Mytilus edulis: one gene and its partner. The main gene of each other region encodes a partner of the protein of the gene in region 2 in a complex. Links are inferred from orthologs where the notes say so. Each region holds a gene or a part of one and is shown on either strand. Other genes may lie near its edges.

Region 1 (6,873 bases), on a different chromosome or scaffold from region 2:
AATTTGCTGTAAGCATTGCTGTTGTGTTGATGTGTGGCAATTATGATCTGCTTCATCACTGTCTAAAGAGTGACTTCTAAATGTTTGAAAGACAAGCTTCATTTGTACATATAATTATTAAATATCATATTTCTATTGGCTTTGATTTTGATTCTGCAAGTGTTGTACTTTAATAAAAGTGCAGTTCTACAATATAACCATACTTGGTAATGGCTTTCTCTTCAAAAGTGTCCAATATTGATATAAGTCGATGTATTGGATGAAAATTTTTATTAGTCATGTTAGTTGAGTCTCATAATTATTGTTTGATTGGTTTTTTTTGTTTTTTTTTGTAATTTGAGTTGTCTCAGCTTTATATACAGCTTGCTTGTTCCCTTTCTGGGTTCCCCTCTACCTTTTCCCAGCACCATACAGCTGTGATAGACCTACCCTTTATATTTTTTTCTGAAGGATAATATTAAAAAAAATAATTTTTAATGTTCATGTTCATTCAATCCATTGAATTATATCAATAATTGGGCTACATGTAGCTAGGAATCTGATATGTGTATGTGTAATGTACATAAACAAACCTGGTAGCAGCTGACTTTGGCAATATACATGACACCAACAAACCATGAAGTGCTATGAATAATCTAATAATAACTAGAACAAGTCCAAACGGGAAATAAAAAATCGTCAAAACAACTGATCCAGGATCAGGAAATCTGAAAAATAAAAATGTAGAATATTGTAGTTCATATACATTGCACCTGAGCAAACTGTTTTTTTAGATTTATAACATTTCTTATAAATGTAAATTTGATGATGCATCATAAAAATTCCTCAAAACAACAAAATTACTAACTCCATGTACTAGTTAATGACCCTAAAAAAAGAAAGGTTTTAGTGGTGACTTTATATAAATGGCAAGAGGAAGTACTTTTTTCAGATCTTTGATTGTTTCTTTTGAATGTATTTACAACCTTTACAGGCTAAGGAGAATTAAGAGCTTGACATATTGTATCTGACACCTGTGACAGGTGGAAGACTAGCTAGTACTTTATTTACATTTGTATGTTTATCTCAGAATCCCTTTAGATATATATCTTTTTGGTTATTGTTGGGATATAAGTACCCGGCCACATCCACTCTGTGTAGTGTTTGTATTTGTATCCACCTCATTCATTAAGCCTTTTTCAACTGATTTTTAAAGTTGGTTCTTATTTTGTACTGTTACATTACTGTGTGGCTGTCCCAAGTTAGGGAAGGGTTTGGATCCTGCTAACATGTTTAACCCCGCCATATAATTATTCATGTGCCTGTCCCAAGTCAGGAGCCTGTAATTCAGTGGTTGTCGTTTGTTTATGTGTAACATATTTGTTTTTTGTTCATTTTCTGTATAAATATAAATTAGGCCGTTAGTTCTCTCGTTTGAAACATTTTACATTGTCATTTCAAGGCTCTTTATAGCTGACTATGCGGTATCAGCTTTGCTCATTGTTGAAGGCCATACAATCCTATACAATGTAGTTGTTAGTTTCTGTGTCATTTAGTCTCTTGTGGAGAGTTGTCTCATTGGCAATCATACCATATCTTCTTTTTCATATAATATAATTTTTATCCCTTCATGTACATGTATCTTTTTAAGTTGAGGACAGATCAACTATAAATATGGACTAATCTACATGTAGCGGAACGACTTGGGACTTATTGACTTGAGCAAGATTATCATGAAAGTATCCTAAAAGTAGGTTTCATTGGGGTGTAAGTGTGACAAAGGATTGGCTGATTTTTTAAGTAAGCGTGAAAAGTGAAAGTCAACTGATAATTTTTGTGGTGAAAACAGGAGATAAAATCAAGTCGGTCATATGAAATTACAAGCCCTATCATTACAACGATGAATATGATACAGGAATCGGACTAAAAGCAATTAGAAGGATCTAGTATCAGACCCCTCCCCAAATGAGACCCCCTTAAAACTAAAGAAAAGGGGTTCTTGCAGCAATAGCCAAACTTATATGACAGTTTAAGATAAAGGTTGTATACCTTTATACCTTTATCTTATACTTATTTAGGTGTGCGCAGCTGAAACACTTAACACGAACATATAATTTATATGGGTTTCAATTTTCGCCATTTAATGCAGACTTAAAATTATTCAGAGTCTTTGCCGACACCATTAAATCTGACAGGTTATTCCACTGATCCACTACTCTAATTGAAAAAGTATTTAGTCTATGTGTAGTCTTACACTGTTTTTTAAAAAGTTTTAATGAGTGACCCCTAGTATAATAGATGGTGCTAAAGTAAAAAGGCTCATCCAGTCGATGTCATCTATACCATGCAACGCTTTGTAGACTTGTATGGGGATCTCATTGGGGGGTTCTGATGCTGGATTCTGCTTACTGTTTTGTCAGATTCTTGTATCCCGCTTACACTATGATCGTAAGCAATTCTTATTTTTTGTAATTTCCCATGTCCTGCTAGACCCTATTTCCCGTTTTCACGGCACAATAATTTGACTTTTACGTGTAACGCTTACAAAAAAATCGGCAATCCTGCGTCACGCTTAGACCCCAATCAGCCAATGAGACCCACTTGTATCATATGAGGGTGGTAAAGGGGGGTACGGAACACGGAAACACGTGAAATAAAAATCGCAAAAACGTAGCACGAAAAATTAAAATCCGGAAAAACGAAGCAAAAGAAATAAAATCGTAAATATTAAGAAAAAAAGTACCAGAAGTTATTACACAGCCGTTCTTGGAGATCATGTAGACATTGTAAATGACATCAAGACCTTGTGGTCACCTTAAAGCATATGCTACTTGCATCTGATTTGAAAAAATATTATTATGATGGACTTTATTACATGTACAAAATGTATAGCATACATATACAATAGAAAGTAGAATGGTAAAAATATACATCAATTTCTATTATATTACACAAGTTTCAAAAGGTACTATAACTCACTGACTTTGAGTTACTTCCAATTCACTTTTTAATCAAATGCTGAACAATGTAAGAACAAGAAATTAAGAGCACCGACACGAAACACGGAAAATAAATAAGGGGAAATACAAGCACACACATCGAACCAAACACGAGAAAACGAGAAATAAAACACAAAATCACGAAAACACGTAAAATGAAAAGGCCGAAAACGTTGCACGAAAATAACCCTTTATCACCCTCTCATATCATTCCTATCCCTACGATATTCCAAGGTGATGAACCATAAAGATGTGTTATATGTATATTATGTGTATAGCCATACATAAAGTGATTTAGATTGAAACCTACAATACATAAGTCATTTACAGTAGTCTATAAAAAATATAGAACTGACTCTGTGGTACGTCTATAGAAAATTCTACTGAGCCATACATTATCATGTCGAAATAAAGAATACAAATCACCATACATTAAATTTGTGAACTACATACAATGCATATAACTATTACTATCTTGAGAACTCAAAAATAAAATATTTAAACCTGCTAATATCGAATAATCTGTCCATGTTATTCTAAAAATCGTGCATTTTCAACCGGAAGTACTAATCATCAACCATTTTCACAGATGACTTCTGGGAGATTTTGGACAGGTTGCTTGTAGCAGACAGCAAACAGCTGTAAACAAAGATTTATAAAGAAGAACAAGGCAGAATAACCGTGCTTGTTCGAGTTAGTTATTTCTACTACATGGATCTTTCTTTGACTAAACGAAGTCTGATAACAATAAACAAAGAGAGAGAGAGAGAGCAAAACACTAAAAAAGGGGGAGCACATGGTTTATCTAAAAAAAAAATACACACAATAATAACATAAACATTGATATTAAACAAAACTCTGAGCGCATGATTCAACATAAAAATCATCTTTGTCTCCACCAGGACTCGAACCCCAGGACCTTTGTGTTACAAGGCAGCGCAATTATGCTCTATAAAAATTATACACCTTATCGCTAAGGGAGCTACCATTTGATTTTTATGGGGGGGCTAGGATGAAATTTGAAAAAAATAGGCAGGACAGGAGTTTTGAGTAAAAAAAAAAAGGCAGGATGAGACACTTGCAAAAAAAAAAAGTCAGGACGACAATTTAGGTAAAAAAAAGTCAGGATAAACTAAAAAAAAAAGGCAGGACCGAACAGAGTGAAAAATAAAAAGGCAGGACAGAGATTACAGCTAAAAAAAAAGGCAGGACAAAATTTTTCATCCTAGCCCCCCCATAAAAATCAAATGGTAGCTCCCTAATACACCTTATCGCTAATCCCGGCTGACCCGGCCGCTTGAACTTTTGACGTCAACAACAATCACTTTTCCATTGTGGCATCAGATATTTTGTTTTATGACGTCAACATTTTACGGGAACCTGTGTGATATCCAGCAATAGCGGACAAATAGTGATAAGGTGTATCCCGGCAGACCCGGCCGCTTGAACTTTTGACGCATACAACAATCACTATTCCATTGTGGCGTCAGATATTTTGTATTGTTACGTCAAAATTTATGGGACTGTGTGATATCCAGTAATGGCGGACAAATAGCGATAAGGTGTATGATAACTATATATTTGATTTTGAATACCCCTTATCGCTATTTGTCTGTCATTACTGGATATCACACAGGTTCCTTTAAAATTTTGAGGTCATAAAATACTTATCTGACGCCACAATGGAAAAGGGATTGTTGTAAATTGCGTCAAAATCTTACCATGTTACAACATATGTATTCAACTTGTGACGGGATACACTATTTCTGAAATCATGTCTTTAACTTAGAAAGATCGTCAATTTTGCATGCCTTTCTGACGTCATTTACCAGTTAGAAGGTGCACCTGTATCCTTGCTCTATTAAAAGTTTCCAGCACTTTCATTATCGTCATTCTGTAGGATAGAATAGAAATAATTTATGTTCTGTAAGTACGTAATCTTTGATTACTTTACAACTAAGGGAGGGTGATAATCTTATTAGATTTTGATTTCCCAAATATTTTGTGCCATATAAACTCAAACTTTTTCAACCGTTTGCTCAGCATGTGTTGGTGTCAAGCAAAATATTGTCCTATGAAATATTGTCCTTGTCTATGGAAATATGTCCAGAAAAGGACAAATTTTCATAGTAAAATTTTGTCTGTATATAGGCAATAATTCACAGATGAATACTATGGAATTTTGTGTTGTTAAAGGAAGGTTATATTTTGTGTAAATTGAGAAAATATTTCACAGGTGATTACTATGAAATTTTGTCCTGTTAAAGGGAGGTTATACATGTATTTTGGTTATATTGTGCGAGTATTGAGACAATATAAATTCATAGACTGATTGTCATGGAATTTTGTCTCATGAAGGGAAGGTTATCAACATATATTCATGTATTAAAGAGAAGGTATATATAGGATTTTCTTTCCTGCGACACATGCCTGTGTATATATTTACAAAATAAGTGATTGTCAGTGCATTACTTATATTTGTACCGTTATAATGTAATACAATGAAAAATATACGTAAGACAATTCTTTAATTTATAATTAACCATTTGTAATGTATCTATGCAAATTTGAAACTCACTATAATGAGTACTATAGATTCCTTGCTAAACAAAACCATTTCAGTTATAAATTTAAAAAATGTGCATGCTGCATGATTTGTACTATTGCTAGTTGTGTAATAATTTGATTAAAAAATATTTTCAAAGCCAGTATTTCATAGTGAAGTATTGTCATGAACAGAATTTCATAGTGAGATATTGTCCAGAAGGAGGTGACAAAATTTCATGGACAAAAACACTATTGCTTAATGAAATATTGTCCAGGACAATATTGATCAATATTTCGTTATGAAATAATGTCAGTGGACAATATTTTATTTGAAATTTTGTCTGACAGACAATATTTCATGGAGGACAATATTTTATGTTACATTGGAAGTGATGATGCCTACATTTTGTTCACATAGTGATGGAAGTCACATGATTAGATTCAACTTATTGCCGTATTGATTCCATTAAAATATGTATCAGGACCGTACCTTACTATACTTTACCAGAAATCTTTTGACAACCGAACACCTGACTATCATGTGACTTTACCAGAAATTATGGATCCTGAGCTTCTTACAGTTTTCTTTACAAGGTTAAAAATACAAAGCTGACATACATCTGCTGTAAACTGTTGGAACATAATGTTCACATCACCATCATGGGTCACTTTGACCATCAACATGGGTTCAGAGCAAAACCATCTTGCGAAACCCACCTGATAACCCTTGATGAAATTGGCAAGAACTTATCCAGAGGAGAACAGAACCTGAGACAGACATCAGCCTGCTAGATTCCTTCGAAGCATCTGACAAAGTGCCCCAGAAAAGACTCATCGATAACATTGACAATTACAGGGTACAAGGATTACTCTCATTGCAGTGGTTTCAAGACTTCCTTTAGCAAAACCCAATCTGTATTTCTTGAAGGGCTTAAATCCCTCCCCTGACATCATCTCAGGTGTGCCACAGGAAACAGTCATTGGACCACTCTTACTCCTGACTTACACAAATGAACAGCCAGAAACTACAACTTCTGTGGTAAGGTTATTTGCAGATGACCAATTTATGCTTAGTTTATAGAAAGATCAAGAACAACAATGACACTACAAGGCCTAAGCACAATCCAAAAGTGGGAGTCCCTATGGCAGATGAATTTCCATACTGAAAAGTGTATTGTGATCCAGATTACCAACAAGAGAAACCCAATAATTGCTAACTATGAACTGCATGGTCACATCTGAAATGTATTTGAGCACGTCAAATAATTATTCACCGTTAGTCACAACCTAAAGGGGAAAACTCTCATCAGCAAGAGGGTAGGCAAGACATTTAGGACAAAAGGTTTCC
Region 2 (6,873 bases):
TGTCTCATTGTTGTATACTTTAGATCTTCTGGAACATTTGTAAAGTGAACATGGAAATACATACATAATAAGAGCTTCCCATTCAAAGAAATTCTCCTCATTGACAGGTCCTGCTATAATTCCTTCAGGTGGATTTAGTGTCAATTCTGAAAATAAATGTCTCTCATCAATACATTTGATTCAACTGATCATGAGTCAGTCGTGAGACTACCTTAAATCATAGATTGGTTATTTCATGATATTTCCAAACAATTTTCATAAGATTCATCAACTAAAATGGTCTGATGATTTGAAAGAATAAAATGAACTACATTCCAACATTTTATTAGGCCTACTAAAATTAATTTGTAGATTTTCATACAACTGATTCAAGATCAAAGTCGTAAAAGCTATTGTATCAATTGCTGCCTACATCATTTTGTTTTTGTACATGTAGTTAATGTGTTTGTGACTTTTATTTTTCATCCACATGTATATAAATAAACCTGAGAGGAGTCTTGTCCAGTGAGAAGTAATGATGATTTAACTTTATAATAATAAAAAACTTATCTAGCAGAAAGTCCTTTAAACTATTTTTTTTTTCTCTTTGAACTTCACAATTTTTGCCAATGAAAGTTGGCAGAAGCCAGAATGGCACCTGTAGCACAGTGTAGGTTAATATGACAATATAATTACATTAAATGTATGTTTCACTATAATGCGTTATTCTGATTGGCTAAATGCACATCACATGTTATTCCTTAAGCAATTGCATTACTCAATAAAACTTTTCATTTATGATAACATGAGGTCCCACAATAAAGTGCCCAGGTGAATTAAATAAAAAAAAAATGATAAAATTCATGTTTTCATGATCCTAGCTAAAAAATGTAATAATAAGTATTGAATGCTTCTTTTTGTAACTTCATAGGGTTGTAAAAGCATTGACCGTGCGCACATTTTTAGAATGAAGTGCTTGTGTAAAGCAAAATTATATCCAGGTGAAATTTGATCCGAAAGGAAAAAATGTCACAGCAGTTGTTATTTTTTTGTCCGGAGGAAAATACTTCCCTGGGATATTTTTTCCTTTGCCGTGAAATTCTATCTAGGTAGTTAACTTATTGAATAGTTATTAGAAAAAACTTATCCTTTAAAAATACTATGAAATAATATTAGTGTATTTGAAATAAAGCGAAATTGTTAAAAAAAATAATGTATTATAATGGGAAATAATTTCACAAATTATCCTTGAAAAATTTCCTGAAATATTCAAGTCAATATCATCCTTTTAAAAAGAAAATTATCATGAAACAAAGGGAAGAAAACCAGAAGTAATTTCAAAGATCGTAATTGTGAAAATAATATCATGATTAAACAAGGTTAGTGAAATACATGTAAAAGTGAGTTGTTTTCAGATCTCAGTGCAAATATAAAATTAAAACTAAGGTAGAAATATAGTTGCATTACTACTGTTAACAGTAATAGAAGAATTTGATTATGATGATAGTTTTAACTATATAAATAGTTTTGTCTGGGGACAGAGATGTAGTTGTTGATTATATGGAAATCAGATAAATCATAGCATAACAATATATTGGAACAAAAGCATGTTTAACAGCTGGATAGTTTTTACCTGTGAAATGTTATCTGTCTTATTAAATCAAGTTGTAAGTCATCTTTTTATATAAATGTATGTATAAAAAAAAAGATTCAAGGAAAAATTTCACTATAAAATAGATTCAGAAATATATTTAAAATTTAAATTGCTCATAATTACCTCCCTTTGATAAATTATGCAAATTTGGTCTACCTTTGTGAAACATTTTATAATTATAGTCAGGTATAAATCGATTGTGAGTAACTTACATAGTAGTTAATGGGACTCTATTTCACACGGTTCTGTGAAATATAGTACGGCAAATATAACCATTACATACTATACGCATAACACAGATAGATTTTCACTCCTCTGGAAAAAATCAACCTGTGAAACACCATGCCTGGAAAAAAATTACCGGGACAAATTATCCTCAGGACAAAATATCACAGAGGAAGAAATAAACCGTTACACTTTCACTCTTCATACAAAATGTACTTCGGTCAACGCTTTTACACCCCAATGAAGTTACAAAAAGAAGCATTCAATTCTTAAATAAATTATAATATATGTGAATGTATGTATGTACTGGTAAATGCCTCAGTTATTAAAAAAAAAACCTTAAAAGATGCGAGGGTACAGTGGCGTCCATGTGCACGCCCTATCAGGATTAATGGAGATGTGTCACTAACGTACATATACATGTATATATATACGACAATTATTTTTACAAGGACAGTCAATCCCAACCAAAAACAAAGGGAGTGCTAGGACACTGGGAAGTCTATTACTAGGGTGGTGGAAGCAGAAGTACTCGGAGAAGACCACTGTGGCATTCGGCGGAAACAGACAAACCAGAGATATCAGAAGATTGATCTCCATGTCAAAGTAGGGGGCAACTTTGACCAACTAAGGTCCCAAAAGTACCCGTTCTAGTTTAAACTCTGGTCTGGGTACCAGAGATGTGTGCGAGAGTATGAAAATTACAATTCTGATGTACTGATATTTTTCGTGAGAATCAAAATTGGGACCTTCAGCACTGAAAACATGAGGGGGGATAGGAGGGGTCTTGATCACGAAATCCCGGACTTGAAAAAACGAAATCCCGAGGTCCCGAATTTAAATAAAGCAAATCCCGACATCCCGAAATCCCAAAAAAAAGGATTCCCGGATCCTGAAAAAGGTCAATCCCGAAATCCCAAGCTTAAAAACACCCAATCCAGGAGTCCCGATAAAGGTCCTATCCCCCCTCAAACATTGGTCTTGACTTAACCACTAGAACATGAACTCAGATTTCTTTAAAGAGTTTTTTTTTGTCAATACACCATATCGCTATATGTCGGCTATTACTGGATATCAAACAGGTTCCCGTAAAATTTTGACGTCACAAAACAAAACATCTGACAAAAGTGATTGTTGAATGCGTCAAAAGTTCAAGCGGCCGGGTCAACCGGGATTAGCGATAAGGTGCATGCTATGTTAATACTAGATAGGTCAAATTAGTCAATTTGATGTTAGAACGATAAGAAAAGGGTGTTGTCAGTGTAGCGATAAGTGAACACAACAGGGGTCCAGTTTATGTTAAAACTAGATAGGTCAAATTAGTCAATTTGATGTTATGAACCCTTAGAACAATAAGAAAAGGGTGTGGCCAAATCGACTTCGGCCGAAACAACTATAGCCGAACTGGTTGTGTGGCCGAAATATCTCGAAAACTTTTATGCCAAACCCAGTGGTGGATCCAGGGGGGGTTCCGGGGGTGCGCACCCCCCCTTTATTTTTGCCGATCAATGCATTTGTATCGGGACATATGTTTTGCACCCCCCCCCCCCCTTTGCCCTGGGTGCCCTGGGTTAGCACCCCCCCCTTTCGAAAATTCCTGCATCCGCCCCTGAAACCGACACCCGAACAACAAGCTCTGTTGATTGAAGACCCAATGAGATATTCATAAACATATCTGAAACTAACGCTTGTATTCTGCCATCAACCTTCTTAAGGCTGATCCTGCCATTTTGCATTATCAGTTTTATCAGACTTTTTTTCAACTCATAAAATCGTGTTGTGATTCTTTTACGTGGAAGATAAAAACAGTGTTCGACTGAACGACGAAATAAAATAAGTATTCATTGGTTAAAGTTTAAATTACATTGAATGGCGACCAATCAAATGGACTGTTCCGTTTTTAGCAAACAATGGACATTTAACAGAAACCCGTTGAAATATTAAACGATTCCGACAAGAATTAATATATTCTAGAAAACATGACATCTGGTTTTTAATTTTGGAAATATTTTCAAATTTATCAAATAGGACGGATTGCAGATTGGTGTCTTATGACAAATAAAAAATAGGGGCGACCGAAAAGCTCTTGGATTTTGCGGATCGTTTATGTTAATTAGATTTTTTCATCTTATGTGCTTGAAGCAAGGCAACAATGGCACAGGCAAGCCTTGAATGGGTTGTAAGTATTTATGTTCCGATTATTTATTGACGATTTCTCTCCAGGTAAAAATGACAAGTGAAGGGTCTGTGTTTATTTCTTTATCTAGAGGTCATGAACTTCTAGACCGGTCATGTGATTGATCCATGTGATTTGATTGGTTGTTTTTAGCGCACTAGATTTAAACGGAAAAGTAACATCACATTCACCGGAGTGAGCTTTTAGATACCTCTAAGCCTTGCAATGGCTACAAGTCCTTTGAGGGTAAATTTATAATAGTCATGTCATACTGTTTCTGTTTTCAGTTACATTTTGTAGTCATCTTTCATGCATGCAAGTTAAAGGACTTTGAAATACTTCTACTAAAAAAGGGGGAGGGTTTTATGATGTGTTTACAAAAATGTAAATCATAAAATGAGGAATATTATATGAAGTCACATAACAACTTTCACCAGGTTGCAATATGGTAGTTGATGATTTCCAGAGGACAGGCTGATTCTTTACAGTTGGAAATTAAGGTTTCCCTTCAATTTTGATTTTAAACTAGATTGTTAATCATTTCAAAAGAATCTCTGTATAATTTACATCAGACATAAGGGGACTTTTTTCTCAACATCAAAAGGGTAAACAATAGTACAAAAGACTTTTTAAATAGACGACTGTAAAGAAAGCTTGTTCTACAATTTTGACAGTCATTGTTTACACGATTGTCGGATTTGTAATGTGTAACCAGGCGTTTATATCTCAAACGTCTGTTCCAGTTAATACTTGGATCCAAGTTGTCCACAAACAATACAGCAATACTAAAAACTACAACTATCTACGTTATGCACAATGAACCAAAATATATACACTGGCTTTTTGCAGATACAAAATAAGTATGAACTCTATATATACAAGTTTATACAATATAACAGCCTGACCTCCTAATTGGACGTTATGTCACTATAAGACAATGTGGCTGGAACAGCTTGACCTCCGAATGGGACAGTCTGTCAATACAAGACAGAGTGGGCTGGAACAACTTGTCCTCCGAGTGGGACAGTCTGTCACTACCAGACAGTGCCGGCTACTACAGCTTGTCCTCTGAGTGGGAAAGTCTGCCTTGTCAATCCGATCAACCTGTACGTTCACTTGTACCCAGTACAAAGTGTCTCCTGAATATTAAAGCTCTCCTAGCGTCTTAATATTACTAACGTACGCTCTGATGATGTCTCATCGACAGCCAACCGACAGCCTTGAATGCCGTTTCTCGTTCTCTTAATATATTCCACAGGGCGACTATACTATTTACTTAATAGGGGTGTTCTCTAAATGTTAGCCTTACAGAGCATAGAGAGTTCCTTACGATCACCCCTATAACTTTCGACCCTGCCACTAATTTCCTTGCCAAAAGTCTAAATCCACACAACGCTTCTTTAGGCATAAAATATGCATATATACAACAAGATTCTCCTGGTTTATAACCATAACGATCAATAATCATTACAGATTGAACTGTGTCTACCAGTGTAACTCATTCATGAAAAAAACCATCAAGTTTAGCATATCCAACAAAAAGAGGGTACTAGCCAATTTTGCAAAAAATTGTTTAGGTTTGATGAGTTGGGTCAGAGGGTTCCTGATCCCGAAATCTCAGGCTTAAAAACATTTAATCCTGAGGTCTGGAATTTAAAGAAATTTAAATCCTGATATCCCAACCTTAAAAGCACCAGATCCAGACCTCCAGAAAAAGGTCCTGCCCCCCTCTTTCATGAACAGGTTAAGAGTTACCCAGGGTTCTCATTTAAGTAATTAGAAAGGACTTAATTTTTAGCCATGGCAGGTTCAGAAATTTAATTGTTATATAGAAATTAATATTACAGTCTTTATGACAAAGAAGAGCAAGGTAATCTTGTAATTTATTTTATAGTTTGCTAAAAAATGTTGCTACATGTATGTTTGCAAAATTTACCATTTTGATGCTTCTCTCTTAGGACCAGTTTGCACAGAAAACGATTTCATCTACTAGTCCGGAAACTAAATATCAAAATTTTTCCCTATATGACTATTTAAAATTTTGAAATTTCACTTGTCCGAATCAATATTTTCTAGTCTGGGGCATCAGACTAGTGACTAACTTGCCAGCTGTCAGATTTTGTAATTAGTTCAGACAAAACAACAGGAGTAATTATTGAACCCTTTCCTCCATTGAAATTTTTTTTTTGCATACTTGATTCGCATAGGATTTTTTTAATTAAATGCTGAACATATGATTTAAAGTATTAAGGCATTGTGAAAAACAACTATTTCATCAAATAAATTTAAGTTGGATATTCCTATGATATCCCTTTTCATATCAGATACAAATTTTATTAAGTCAACTGCAGACACTTTGTAGTCACAGTGTTTCAACTGAGGTACTACACAGGCGTCCAAAGGCGTCATGGAGTAAGGGGGATGGTGTCAAAAGACGTCATTATGGAGAAAAGGGTTAAACGATATAGAATGAATTGTTTGAAGATAAATGTACATTGTATCTATAGTGTGTATATGCATTAGCAAAGACTATTAAAGTATGCTTGCTAAGTACATGTAGTTACTTTTTGTGTTGCCTGCAACATTTATGCTACAACAATGAGACAGCAATGCTGTTAAGCCTGTTGTCAGTATTGTTAACATAATTCAGAATAATAATTTTACAAAAACTCGCAACCTGTATATATGATTGATACATGTAAAAAAAATGTACCAACCCTATAGAGTTTAGTACGAAAACTCTCAAAGATTATATTTTCTGACTTTTATCATTTTTTGTAAATTTTATGTTTCAGACTTTGTTTGACAATATGAATTCTAAAGCTGATAAAAAGAAAAT

The links. The genes of interacting proteins can lie anywhere in the genome.
Region 1: the proteins of ubiquitin-conjugating enzyme E2 G2 (region 2) and lipid droplet-regulating VLDL assembly factor AUP1-like are in contact, whole or in part, in a crystal structure (PDB 7LEW), measured with the Homo sapiens proteins. The link is inferred for Mytilus edulis from reciprocal best matches to the Homo sapiens genes UBE2G2 and AUP1. Residues at the interface, in NP_003334.2 of Homo sapiens: Tyr13, Thr17, Pro20, Gly23, Ile24, Val25, Ala26, Gly27, Pro28, Met29, Asn30, Glu31, Glu38, Leu40, Met42, Glu45, Glu50, Phe51, Val53, Pro55, Lys156, Val159, Gln160, Ser162, Leu163, Leu165; in NP_853553.1 of Homo sapiens: Ser379, Arg382, Gln383, Leu386, Arg389, Lys390, Leu393, Tyr394, Tyr396, Ala397, Arg398, Arg400, Phe401, Thr402.

The regions. Positions count from the first base shown.
Region 1 is NC_092347.1:74,199,535-74,206,407, reverse strand, and holds the start of lipid droplet-regulating VLDL assembly factor AUP1-like, read right to left. Parts: upstream 3,613-6,873; 5' UTR 3,509-3,612; coding exon 3,483-3,508; intron 708-3,482; coding exon 573-707; intron 1-572. UniProt on the Homo sapiens protein: Plays a role in the translocation of terminally misfolded proteins from the endoplasmic reticulum lumen to the cytoplasm and their degradation by the proteasome. Plays a role in lipid droplet formation. Induces lipid droplet clustering.
Region 2 is NC_092357.1:21,470,782-21,477,654, forward strand, and holds the start of ubiquitin-conjugating enzyme E2 G2, read right to left. Parts: upstream 3,695-6,873; 5' UTR 3,588-3,694; coding exon 3,545-3,587; intron 147-3,544; coding exon 65-146; intron 1-64. Other genes in the region: DNA topoisomerase 2-alpha-like, read left to right, coding at 4,011-4,037, 6,830-6,873. UniProt on the Homo sapiens protein: Accepts ubiquitin from the E1 complex and catalyzes its covalent attachment to other proteins. In vitro catalyzes 'Lys-48'-linked polyubiquitination. Involved in endoplasmic reticulum-associated degradation (ERAD).